Linked DNA regions of Coturnix japonica. The main gene of each other region encodes a partner of the protein of the gene in region 2 in a complex. Links are inferred from orthologs where the notes say so. Each region holds a gene or a part of one and is shown on either strand. Other genes may lie near its edges.

The links.
Region 1: KIF11 (region 2) and KAT2B share a complex: the UniProt entries of both Homo sapiens proteins name them as parts of the large chromatin remodeling complex. The link is inferred for Coturnix japonica from reciprocal best matches to the Homo sapiens genes KIF11 and KAT2B.
Region 3: KIF11 (region 2) and MYSM1 share a complex: the UniProt entries of both Homo sapiens proteins name them as parts of the large chromatin remodeling complex. The link is inferred for Coturnix japonica from reciprocal best matches to the Homo sapiens genes KIF11 and MYSM1.

Annotation. Positions count from the first base shown.
Region 1 is NC_029517.1:32,877,883-32,881,534, reverse strand, and holds part of KAT2B (histone acetyltransferase KAT2B), read right to left. Parts: coding exon 3,473-3,652; intron 909-3,472; coding exon 782-908; intron 1-781. UniProt on the Homo sapiens protein: Functions as a histone acetyltransferase (HAT) to promote transcriptional activation. Has significant histone acetyltransferase activity with core histones (H3 and H4), and also with nucleosome core particles.
Region 2 is NC_029521.1:17,986,908-17,990,559, forward strand, and holds the end of KIF11 (kinesin-like protein KIF11), read right to left. Parts: coding exon 3,568-3,652; intron 3,245-3,567; coding exon 3,128-3,244; intron 2,733-3,127; coding exon 2,607-2,732; 3' UTR 376-2,606; downstream 1-375. UniProt on the Homo sapiens protein: Motor protein required for establishing a bipolar spindle and thus contributing to chromosome congression during mitosis. Required in non-mitotic cells for transport of secretory proteins from the Golgi complex to the cell surface.
Region 3 is NC_029523.1:23,575,889-23,580,157, forward strand, and holds the start of MYSM1 (histone H2A deubiquitinase MYSM1), read right to left. Parts: upstream 2,834-4,269; 5' UTR 2,794-2,833; coding exon 2,723-2,793; intron 2,350-2,722; coding exon 2,274-2,349; intron 2,059-2,273; coding exon 1,988-2,058; intron 1,488-1,987; coding exon 1,410-1,487; intron 1,291-1,409; coding exon 1,264-1,290; intron 820-1,263; coding exon 741-819; intron 345-740; coding exon 246-344; intron 65-245; coding exon 1-64. UniProt on the Homo sapiens protein: Metalloprotease with deubiquitinase activity that plays important regulator roles in hematopoietic stem cell function, blood cell production and immune response.

The DNA.
Region 1 (3,652 bases), on a different chromosome or scaffold from region 2:
ATGAATTCAGAGTCTCATAAATTCAAATATAATTCAAGTACTAAAAGTTGTCACAGGCTTTCACACAGTTTCTGCTTGTTCATCTTCTAGAAACTCTAAATTAACCCACATCTCAGCATTAACAATTTCAACTGAAAAACATATAGCTACAGCACCATCTAAAGGCAATATCCTGAACTAAATACTCCCACTTAGATTTACCTGTAATCCTGGAGAAGAAGAGCAGAATCTCCTGTATATTTATAGTGCTTTACATTCTCTCAACATTACAGATCAACACTGAGAACATTATGCACACTGTACTCAAAAATAAGTATGCAAAACAGTGTATGCTTATTTTGAGTTGTGAAACTATACCTAATTTATTCGATATAACTAATTTTCATTGAAGCTGTTTAACATCACAAAGAGACTGAGCATATATTACAAACACATGTAAGCTACACTTAATTCAGCCAACCATGATGCGTTATGCCACACTGAAAGGCAGTTGCTGAAGAAAAGGGTGAATAATCCAAGAGTGGAAGAAAAATTACCATTATTTTTGTGTTGAGGAATGTGTCTTTTTTCTTAGAAAAATAGTCCCACTATTATTCTGATGATTTTAAATCTGTCCTATTATTTAGGTTTTCTATGGTACATTCAGAATCACTGTATCTATCAAATTTGATTTCTGTTTGGTAGCACAATATATTCAATGAGACCACAAAATTAGGAGTATATACGGTGGTAAATGGAATTCATATGCATTTAATAAACTCTAGTGGAGAGTTAATTTTACCTTGACTTGCTCATTGGAAGTCACAGCACAGAAAACGATCTCTGTAAATCCTTGGGAAGGGAACATTCGGAAGCAGATACCACCAATAACACGACCATCTTTTATTAATGCAAGAGTCTTGTGTTTCCTGAGTAGACAAAAATAACATTCATTTTAATTCATGTACATAGTACATAATGTGCCATTACTTTCCTTTTTTCAGAAACTTGATTCACTTCTTTCCATGGTGCCACTGCAATTGTATATGCCTCTGTTAAGATATCTGTACCTACCGAAGAGTTTTTCTTAACATCATGCTTTGAGTTTACCATAAAATTCATCATTATGCAGCATGTCCTAGCCTTGCCAAGTACTCCTACATACTAGAGTACTTCTATTAATAAGATTTATATTACTTTTGTTGACTATATTACTGACAGTTGTGCCATTGCATAGTTCTCAGTATGATCTTAGCCTGCCTAAATTAGAAATTAATGGAGTTACAGGACAGCAAGTCCTTCCTAAGGGATTCCTGTTTCCTTGCATGTACTCTGAATAGCTGTGCTATCAGTTTCCAACACAGCTGATCAAGCAATAAATGATATTTCATATTTCTAATCTAATTCCTAGTAAAATGGAGACCAGAATAAATATCCATTTCTGTTGCACTTGCACTGACTGCCGGGAAAGATAAAGCAAGGTGCAATCTGAACTCTCACATCAAGCACCAAAATTTTAGCATCATCCTCAAGGTCTGGAAAGATTTACAATGCAGCTGTTCTCTAGCTTATTCAGTACACAGTATAATATAAACTGTATAAACAGTACTGTAAATTCAGAGAAGATGTCTTTGATGTGAAGGAAAGTTGGTGCCAAAATGAGCCTCTTCCAAAAAAAGGTCAGTCTGAAAAGTATTTTAAATGTTAGTGTTGAAGTAGAATTTATATATTGTACATATTCTTTTTTTTTTTTTCTTTATTTTAGTATTTTTAATTTGTAGAAAGACAGCAGTGTATAGTAGCTTGTGTTTTTAATTTTGTTTCTTCAAAACAAAATTGTTTGTTCTCTTGTTGGAAAAAGATTTACTAAGGATGACCACTTTGGAAATAAGAACAAAATAGATCATAATTATATTAATGGCTGAAAAGTCTTTGGAAGAGAACAGTTAGACTGCACTTTTTCCTATCAACTTATTAGAAGAGTCTTTGCTAATAAAGAAGGGCCTAGAGAAATGTGGGAGGAGGCTATGGCACAAGACTACTGCTTCAAAATTTACTCAGATGTTTGGTTATTGTGAAACCTGAACTTCAACCAGTAGCTTCTGCTTGAGTTCACAGTGCTGCTAAGACACCAAACTTCAGAAAATTTCTCAGTGCTGCCTCTCCCTCCAAATCGAGCAGCATTTACCCTCTCATAGGAGAAGAAAAAGAGTCCAGACTCGTGCTGGTCCTCACAAGAACCTTGCTGGTCCCTTCTGAAGAACACAGGAAAAAGTTCCACGGTTGGTCTCCTGTGCTTGGAGACTGAAGTTTTGTCCGCTTGTCCCAGAACTGGGTGGCCTGAGCTTCAGAGATTGCACAGAGCATGCAGCAGCAGAGCTTGCTGGCACTGAGAAAGTAGTGCAGAGGGAAGTGCTAGCAAGTCTAAAAGCAGAGGAAATCATTCCAGAAGTGTTTTCCTAACTGCTACAGCAATAATAGCAGACATGAAGACAGTGGCTCATATCACTGGTGGTGGAGGTAGGCTCTACCACTAACCAGGCTAGGCAGACATCTAGATCAGCTCAAGCAAAGCTCCATTTGTGGTATCTACTGACATGTAGCAAAGAGTCCACAAGCACACTACACTGTGAAGTGCTGCAGTTAATATTGTAGACCCCTAAATCTTCAATGGACATGGGTTGTACACAGGCAGAAATCTGGGGAAAGCACATTGGTTGGAAGTAGACTCTGTAAGAAGTGCAACAGTCTAAAAATAGACACTTCTGAGCAAAAGGTAAAGAAAATGTCAGGGCAACAAATTGTCTTAATGTATTGATCAATAAGAAGATTGACACCTGACAGCCTTGAAACTCTAAAGGCAATGAGTGCTGTAAACAGAAGAAAAACATCCGTGTAATAGAACAGCTAAGCAGAAGACAAAAGTCAGAATGGGCAGAGCGTAAATATCCATGAATGTAGAGAAAACCCTTTTTCTCCTGCTTAAACACAATTCATCAGTTCACTAGGGTGGATGAAGACAACATGCAACCTGTGGATGTTGCTATAGCAAATATATCTCTTTAAAAGTGCCTGTGGTGTAGATTTGTACCTAAAGCAAGGCAGGAAACGTGCACGTATAAAGAGAAAGGCAATGTACTCCTGTGAGCAGTGATTTTAAGCATTCTCCCCATGTTGACTTAGATGCTATTCTTCATAAATTCTGCAAGTTCTTCTCACTGAAAAGCCTTCAATCTCTGCTGCCATTTGGTTTTCAAACTCCAAAAACAGAGGATAGAGCAGTCTGCAAGTTAGTATGGGCCCAGAGGCCACTAATGAACACCAGAATTATTTTCAGAATTTTGGTTCTAACATTCATAAGAATAACATAAGGGTAGCAGGGGTAGAGTTCCTCTCTACAGTATCTGGGCTGGCCCATTCTAAAATCACTGTCTGCAACAAGCAATGTGCTCTCTTCATCCCAATCATGAAACTCCTCTCCAGCCATACTCACGGATCAAAAACCAAGCGTGTGATGTACTCCTTTGGCATCCGAGGGAGCTGATGGGAGAACACATTCTGCAAACCAACCAGCCACATCATGATCTTCTTGTTTGGCTTCTGGTTCAGGGAGTTCCCAACCACGTGGAATTCAATTACCCCCCTGCGCTCCTCCAGTCTTGCTGCCTCATCC
Region 2 (3,652 bases):
TCAAATTTTCTTTTATCACTCTGAAGAGCTATAGGCTCTCTTGTTTCCTCTGCTCATTTAACATATGATTACAAAGGGGACTGATGTCTAACAGAACAAAGAAAGTAGAGCCTAACAACTACATACCTTCTCACTCCTCTCAAGTCCCACACAACTGCTTCTGATACCTGAAATACAAGCAGCCAGCAACAGCAGTCAGCTTGGAAGCAGAAAGCTTCCTTTCCTCCAGTCTCTTCATTGCTCCCTTTCAATTGAAAAGAAAGCTGGTGGCTCTGATTATTGTTTCCTGTTGTCTTTTTATCACTCTTCACACATTACATGTGTTTAAGCTCTTTTTCCCCTGTTCATTTTACCATTCATTGTACATATTTCTGGTTTTTTTGTTTTTGTTTTTTTTTTCCTTTTCTTTTTTTTGCTGTTAATTCAAGAGTTGCCCCACTTGGCTGCTAATCTAGAATCAGACGGAAAAATTACCCAGTTAGAGCGCAGCTGTATGCTACAATCCCAGTCACACCACAACTCTACCTCCAGCTCAGCGCAACTAACTCAGTCAGCTTATGACCTCCCGACTTGTTCTGTGGAAACAGCTTCGATACTTCTTATGAGTGATACTTTCTAACAAGCCAAATAGATACCATTAATAGATACCATTCTGTAAACTACACCAGATCACCAATTTCTTCTCTACAGGTTAAACCTGTATATCCAGTAACCCTATGTAAGCAAAGTTAAGGAAGGTGTCTCTTACAGCTAAACAAGTAGGTTTTGCTTCCTATTTTAGCAAATGCCCATGCAACAGAGATCTCAGAGAGCATTTAATTACTACAAACATCTATTGATCCTGTGGCAAAGCTCAAGCTGTGATTCTGAACATTTCACTCAGGTGCAGCTCCTTCCTTAAACAAACGCTCACCACAGTTTGAATATAGGGTTATCCTAGCAGAAGCATAAAATTATTAGGTTTTCAAACCTGCTCTTGTAACAGATGTTTGACTAAAACCTCAGCAAAATGCCTGTTCCTAAATCCTAGTTAGCAATCGGCGCTGGAGGTTTAGAGTAACACTTCAGTGTTAGAGCCACCTAGTGGAAGAAGAGAACGTGGCAAGGAAGCAGAGAGTATCCAAGTTTTTCATCCCATTCAGCTTTCTGGCATGACCACTACACACCAGGCCCAACGAAAGGAGCAGTTACCTGCCATAATATTATTGCAAATGTAAGAAAACACATCTCTCTGAAAAGAGAAAGCAAGCACTCCTAAAGATTCATACAACTGTTAAAGCCTTTCAATATGAGAAAAGCAACCTGCATCTGTACCAAGGAAAATCAAACAGCTATGGACAAGGGTAGTTTCAAGAAGTTAAATAAGCATAGATACTGGCATCATTTTAATGGATGTGCCCTGGACGCCTACCTGTGCAATGTGGTGTAGGGAGCCTGCTTTGGCAGGAGGGTTGGACTCTATTTCTAGAGGTCCCTTCCAACCCCTACAATTCTGTGATTCTGTGATCATTCCTTGGCATTGGCTGCTCCAGTTTGTTTGTTCACACCAGTCTTGTGAACTCCATATGGAAAAATTAAGGCTGAAAGACTTGCAGAAATGCCTTTCAGCTAGGAAATGGACAGATCACACTAACAAAAATCTTGTCAGTGTAAAAGAACCTAGATGCTAAGCCTTGGAGAATTCTTACATCCATTAGGTTTCTGTTATCAGAATTTCACAATATACCAACCACACTGATAGAAACATTCCCACAGACAAAACAAGATTTCAAAACCCCTTTATATAGGGTTCCAAACTTCACATAATAGAAAGATCTAGTATATAAGCTAAGTACTAAGATGATACAAATAAAACAATAATGTATCAGTGGACATACAGCTGCCTTGTTCATACTTTTGTCTCCTGCTATCTGCTGCTAAAGAAAAGAGATTAGCTTCACCCATGAAGAAAAATAACAGGTAAGAAGTGGTACAGAAATACAGCTGATCAGTCTATCTGGTGCCATAACTAAGAGAATCACAGTGAAAGGGTATAATCAAAATTATTGATCTTTATCTAAATGGTGTCCAGAGCATCTATTTTGCAGATACACTAATGTTTTAGCTATATTATCAAGTTTAAGACCAAAACCACATATGCATACACATCTGTACTCTATGTATCAACTGATTTATTTAAAAGTATCCCAAAGACAACCATCTACTTTATAGCAACAGAAATAAGTGTAAGACAAGTACAAAAACAGACCACATATTTACAATGAAAAACCCAGCATTATTCCATATCCCTTCCTGCTACTACAAATCTAATAAGAAGCAGAAAGCAATCTATTAATTGACAGGATAAAAAAAAGTCACGTAACATACAGCACCATAATCTGCAGGTTTTTTTTTTGTTTTGTTTTAAAAATAGAACTGTTAATACTTTGCAAGCCATCATATATAAAAACAGAACAAAGGCAGGACATATTGGGTCAAGTTTCGGATCCAACGTTGCATCAATATATCACTATATACAGAGGCAGAATAACGAAGAGAACTTATGGCTCAGTAGATAACCAAAAGTATTCGATAAGAATCTGCACTATATACATATATGTATAATCTTAGTTCGCTGATCTTAAGGGTAGCTTAGATTTAGGAAGTAGCTGTTCTGTCATGTCTTCAGTTTTGTTTTTCTCCAACATCATCGCAGATTTGTTCTCTTTATCTTTTTTGTGACTCCTTTTATACTGGAATTTAAAGAAAACATCTGATAAGTTTTGCATGTTAAGATAATGCAGGTCCACAATACATCGGTGGAAGAGAAGGGTCAAAAGCATGCAAGAAAAAAAAAATAAAATCAAAAAAGCTTATATTTAATCAGGTCTCTAAGAAAATGCACTGTATTAAATCTCATCTTTTCCGTTAAAACAAATGCATGTGTCTAGCAAATAATTATATTTTTAATACCTTGTTAGAATGTTTTATTTTGACTGAAGTTTAACAAAGTGTATTCTACAGCAGTAAAAGAAGTTGTAAGACTACACTGAAGACTATCAGCAAATGATTTTATACTACAAGCCTATTATAGGATGATAACTTTCTTTCACTGTCTTTCACTGTTTAGAATGGCTGTGAAAGTTACCTGGAAAAAGGGAATGCCCCCATTTGCATGACAGCTTATGTTTACATCCACTAAGTACTTGTCACCACCAAGACTTTCACTGGATTCTTGCATTCCTTCCTCCACTGCCAGCAGGTCCTACAATAGAAGCGTTCAAAGAAGTTCACTGAATATTTGAGTTTCCTACGTGAATGGAAGTGCTGAGTCTTGTACAGATCTCATCACGCTTTATATATATTTGTAAAATAGAAATGAGAGCCTCTAAACAGCTATTAAGGTCTTCCCTTATTTTTCAAGATTGTGTTTTTCACAAAAGCTCAGTATGCAACTCCAAGTACCATGCAGGAAGGCTGCAGCAGTGCTGGGTTTATAGTCAACCTTCCACAGAGATTAAAAGAACAATACAAAACACTTTAGAGATGTGAAATCTCCATTGATATGTTTGTCAGACATAAGCATACCTCATCTGCATTCCCCTCCACTTCCTTTACCACGCTGTTCATCCTAGCATCAATCTGTAGTTGTTTTCTCCGCAATTGTTCAAGT
Region 3 (4,269 bases), on a different chromosome or scaffold from region 2:
CCTCAGACGGAAGGCTGCCACCACACTGACTTTGCTCTTCTCTTTCAGAACCATCATTTTTTGCCTAGGAAAGCATAAGATACATTAAAAAGAGGAAAAAAACTGCTTCCCAGACAATCAGAACTATTTTACTTGACCAGCAGACAGACGTTCAGAGGGAGGTGTTAGGCTGACAAAGCAATAAAAATACCAAAATCATACAAAGCAAACTAACTTGACAACAATACTTGAAATATTCTGTTTACCTTGTTCTTAAAGTACTGCCTGGCATAGCTCTTCACTTGTAGAACAGTACGACTCCCAATCAACTTGGCAATTTTTGTCCAGCGGCGGCCAAATTTCACCTAGAGCAACAAAGCAAACCTGAGTTACCCAGTCTCCAACATTCCAAACATTCCAGTTCATACTCACAAAGTGTTTAAAAGCTCAGTTTTGCATTACAAACACACAAACAGTACAGCCGAACCCAAGAACCTCAATAATCACATTGCAACAAGGAATGCATCGCATCCAACAGTAAGAAGTGTTGCTATTCCTAATAATACGAGCTGCAGGATTTCACTTTCATCACTCATCCTATGCATTCTATACTTAAAGCACACTTAAGACAGCAGTGTGACTGTGCAGTTACAAGTACACAAGTAGAAACAGCTAAGCACAACGTGTTTATTTATGATTAGTTTATTATTTAAGATAAATTAATGGCCTATTCAAACAATTACACATCAATGCATTCATACCAGCCCTTGTTCAAATAGTTCTTTTTCTTCTGATGTCCACTTCAATGAGTTGCTGCCTGGTTTTGTAGGAGATCGCACCCTATGAACAGGAAGGAAATGAGATGATGGTTTCTTAAGCATATCATCCCAAACCCCAGTGACTGAAGACAACTCCTGACAAGAGCAACACTAATTATCTCCTTAAAGCTCATGGTGTTGTTTGAAGCACCAGCTTGGCTGATAGACTGACAAACACGTCAGCTTCTCCATCATAAAGAAAGACTCAAAGACAGCCACGAAAGCCAACCTGAATTAGCATTCTTTCTTTAAATAAGGACAACTGTGTTATAAAGCAAACCAACAAACCAGCAACAAAACACAACAAATGAGTTAACTGCAGCCCTTTTCTTACATACAGTATCTCTGTGTGCTGAAAGATCCCTTGAATAACTTTAGGGAGGTGACATTTTTGGGTGTGTGTTCTGTAACTTAACAAAAATTAGAAGCCATGCTGAAAACAATGCAACTGTGACAATGTACATACATGACTTTTCCAGTTTTCTTATGTGGGCTGCAAATAAAAACACAACAGAATGAAATTAAAAGTTAGTCAATGTGATACAATTGCACATACCTGCAATTAACCAGCTTTTAATTTCTTATTAATTCATTTCTTATTACCCAGCTCACCTTTTCACAGATCTTTTTTCTGCTTCCTTTTGACTGAGCCATATTTTCTCAGACAGCGATTTGTTTGATAGGTAATATCTGCAATTGTTACTAAGAAAGCTTTCAAAGATATAAGAACTCTAGAAATCCTATTAGTTACATTGGTTCCTAATACTTCAGTCATAGGAATGCTCCTGTTAGTTTAATACAGAAGGCAGTGATACTTGTTTCCTGAATGCACAACTCACTCACTTTGAGTTTGTCCTGTTTCCATAACAGGCTTTTGCTTATTTGACACAGAAACCATAATGAAGTAACTTTCTCTTATCTACTCTTAGTTTAACCCTCATTAATTCATTACGTTGGGAAAATCCCTGTATTTTCTTGTTTCTTCTGTTACTCTGAGTTACTCAGTCACAAAAAAAGTGCCAAGGGACTGAACAAGACAAAGACTTACTGGCATTAGGAGAAGCTATGGGCAGTTATATGACTTATTAAGTCCCTACAATCCATCTACAAAGTGACTCTCCTTCTGTCATGCTGTCAAACAAACCATTGGGCCAGTTCCATTGCAATGAAGCAGATCAGAAAAAGGATACTCTTCCTCCAGCAGCATTTTCTCAATGACAGCCCTGTTCTCTTCACTAATGCTGCTGTCCAGCGTCCATGGCTGCAAACAACACAAACAGCTCTTAATCCTGGATTCTGTTACGCTATTTAAGTACCAAGAATGAAATATATAAAGAGCTTCTGGAGATAAGCACAAGACACTGTTTAATAATCTCAAAGGGGCTGTACATGGAGATGAGGTTGAAGTTGGAATAACTTTGCTAGTAGCATCATTCAATTCAATTCAATCATTCAATTCAATTAAAAATAACTTACAAGGCTGTTATCAGTTCTCCAGGATGAATCAAGATAGTGATCCTGCAGTAAGCTCGATGCTGTGTTTTCATGACCTCTGAAAGAAAAGCCCCATATTCAAAACGACACATATACTCAATCAAAATGAACGTATCATTGGGCTCTATACCATCACCAGAAGAAGGAGATAGTAAAATTCACGTCACGCATTGTAGACTATTAGATAGTATTATAACACACCATTGGGCACAGCCTAAACCCCCCTCAATAAGTCGCTCCCTGTGAGGAGCTGCAGCCGCCATCAGGGCCCCCCTCGGCTCCCTTTGCTCAGGGTCGAACAAACCAAAGAACCCAGGGCTCCCCACAGCGGCTGGGCGCTGTATGGGCTCTATATGAGCTCTATACCGGCTCTATACGGGCTCTATACTGGCTCTATACGGGCTCTATACGGGCTCTGTACCCTCACTCACTCTGATGCCGCCTCCCCGAGCGCGGCCGTCAGATCCCCCTCCACATCCACCTCCGGTTCCTCCGCCGCCATGACAGCGGGCTGGTACCTCTCGCGAGACGAAGCAATACAGAGTCGCTCTGCTCATGCTCAGTTGATGGCGGGCGCAAGCGCGACAGGCTGAGGTGAAACCGAGCCCTGAGGAGATGCCGGATGGAGGCGGAGAGATGGCGCTGGTAGGCGGGGAGAGGGCGGGGAGAGGGCGGCTGGGGGTGAGGAGAGGGGTAATAATGGCTGGGTAGTGGTGTGGGGACAGAGAGGAGGTGAAGAGTGGCCTTCAACGGGGAGAGAGCGGCCTTGGGTGCTCGGGGATGCCGCCTGCTCTCTGAGGGGGGTGGAGTGGGATGGCTGGGGTTGGCCTCTTCTCTCGTGTAATAGAACTAGAGGGAATGGTTTTAAGCTGCGCCAGGGGAGATTCAGGCTGAACATTAGGAAGTATTACTTGTTGGAAAGGGTAGTCAGGCATTGGAATGCACTGCACAGGGAGGTGGGGGAGTCACCGACCGTGGGGGTGTTCAAGAAACGTCTGGATGTTGTGTTGAGGGATATGATTTAGCTGGGAAGTATTGGGAATGGTTGGACTAGATGATCTGTGATTGTGAGTGCTCTGAGAAGCTCTCAAGATAAAGAGTTAATGGCCCCAAGTTGTGGCAGCAAGAATTCACATTTGGTGTTGGAAATGTTTCTTATCAGAGTGATCAAGGCCTCATGAGAGGTATTTGGTTCCCCATTATAATTGGTTTTCTAATTGCATAGTGAGGGGAAGTGAGAATTGTGAGGGTTGATGATCGTTGTGGAGGAAATGATTCCCACCAACTCAAGACTGTTTCTGTTTCAAGAGGTGACGATACAAGTGCGTTGCTTTGTGCCACAAACTCTGCTGCAGTGTTTTTATTCTGGATGCCTTTGTGCTGGGATCGGTTTGGAAGTGAAATGATTGAACTGGCTGTTTTTGTGATCTCTACTTAAAAATGCAAGAAGTGGCGTAACAAAGGATAGAAAAGGAATAAAATGATTCTCAGAAAGAATGGGGATGCATCGGCACAGCTGCACAGAGGGTGGTGGGGTCAACATCCCTGGAGTGATCCACAACTGTGGGATGTGGCACTGAGGGATGTGGGCATGGGAAGGGGGGGGGCGAGTTGGGCTTGGTGGCCTTAAAGGTCTTTTCCAGCCCCTGTGATTCCACACAGATCAATTTTGATAGTTCCAGGTTATGTTAATGCCATGTGACTGGGTATCATACAGAGATGTCTAAACACGGTACAGCCTGACACTGAATGCTGGTGTATTCAGTGAGAAGCCCTGCCTTCTCTGTCCAGGTGCAGCTGTGGAATAGGCTGGCTCAGCTCCCACATCCAGCCTGGAGGAGCTGTGTGTGGCTGGGCTAGAAGGGAGGGCAGGGCAATCTGTCAGCTGTGCTTTGCAGTTAGTTCTGCCTGAGCTAAACATGACTGAACTGCAGTGTTATCAGCTCCAGCATCTCTATGCTCTATATCCTTGAGGATA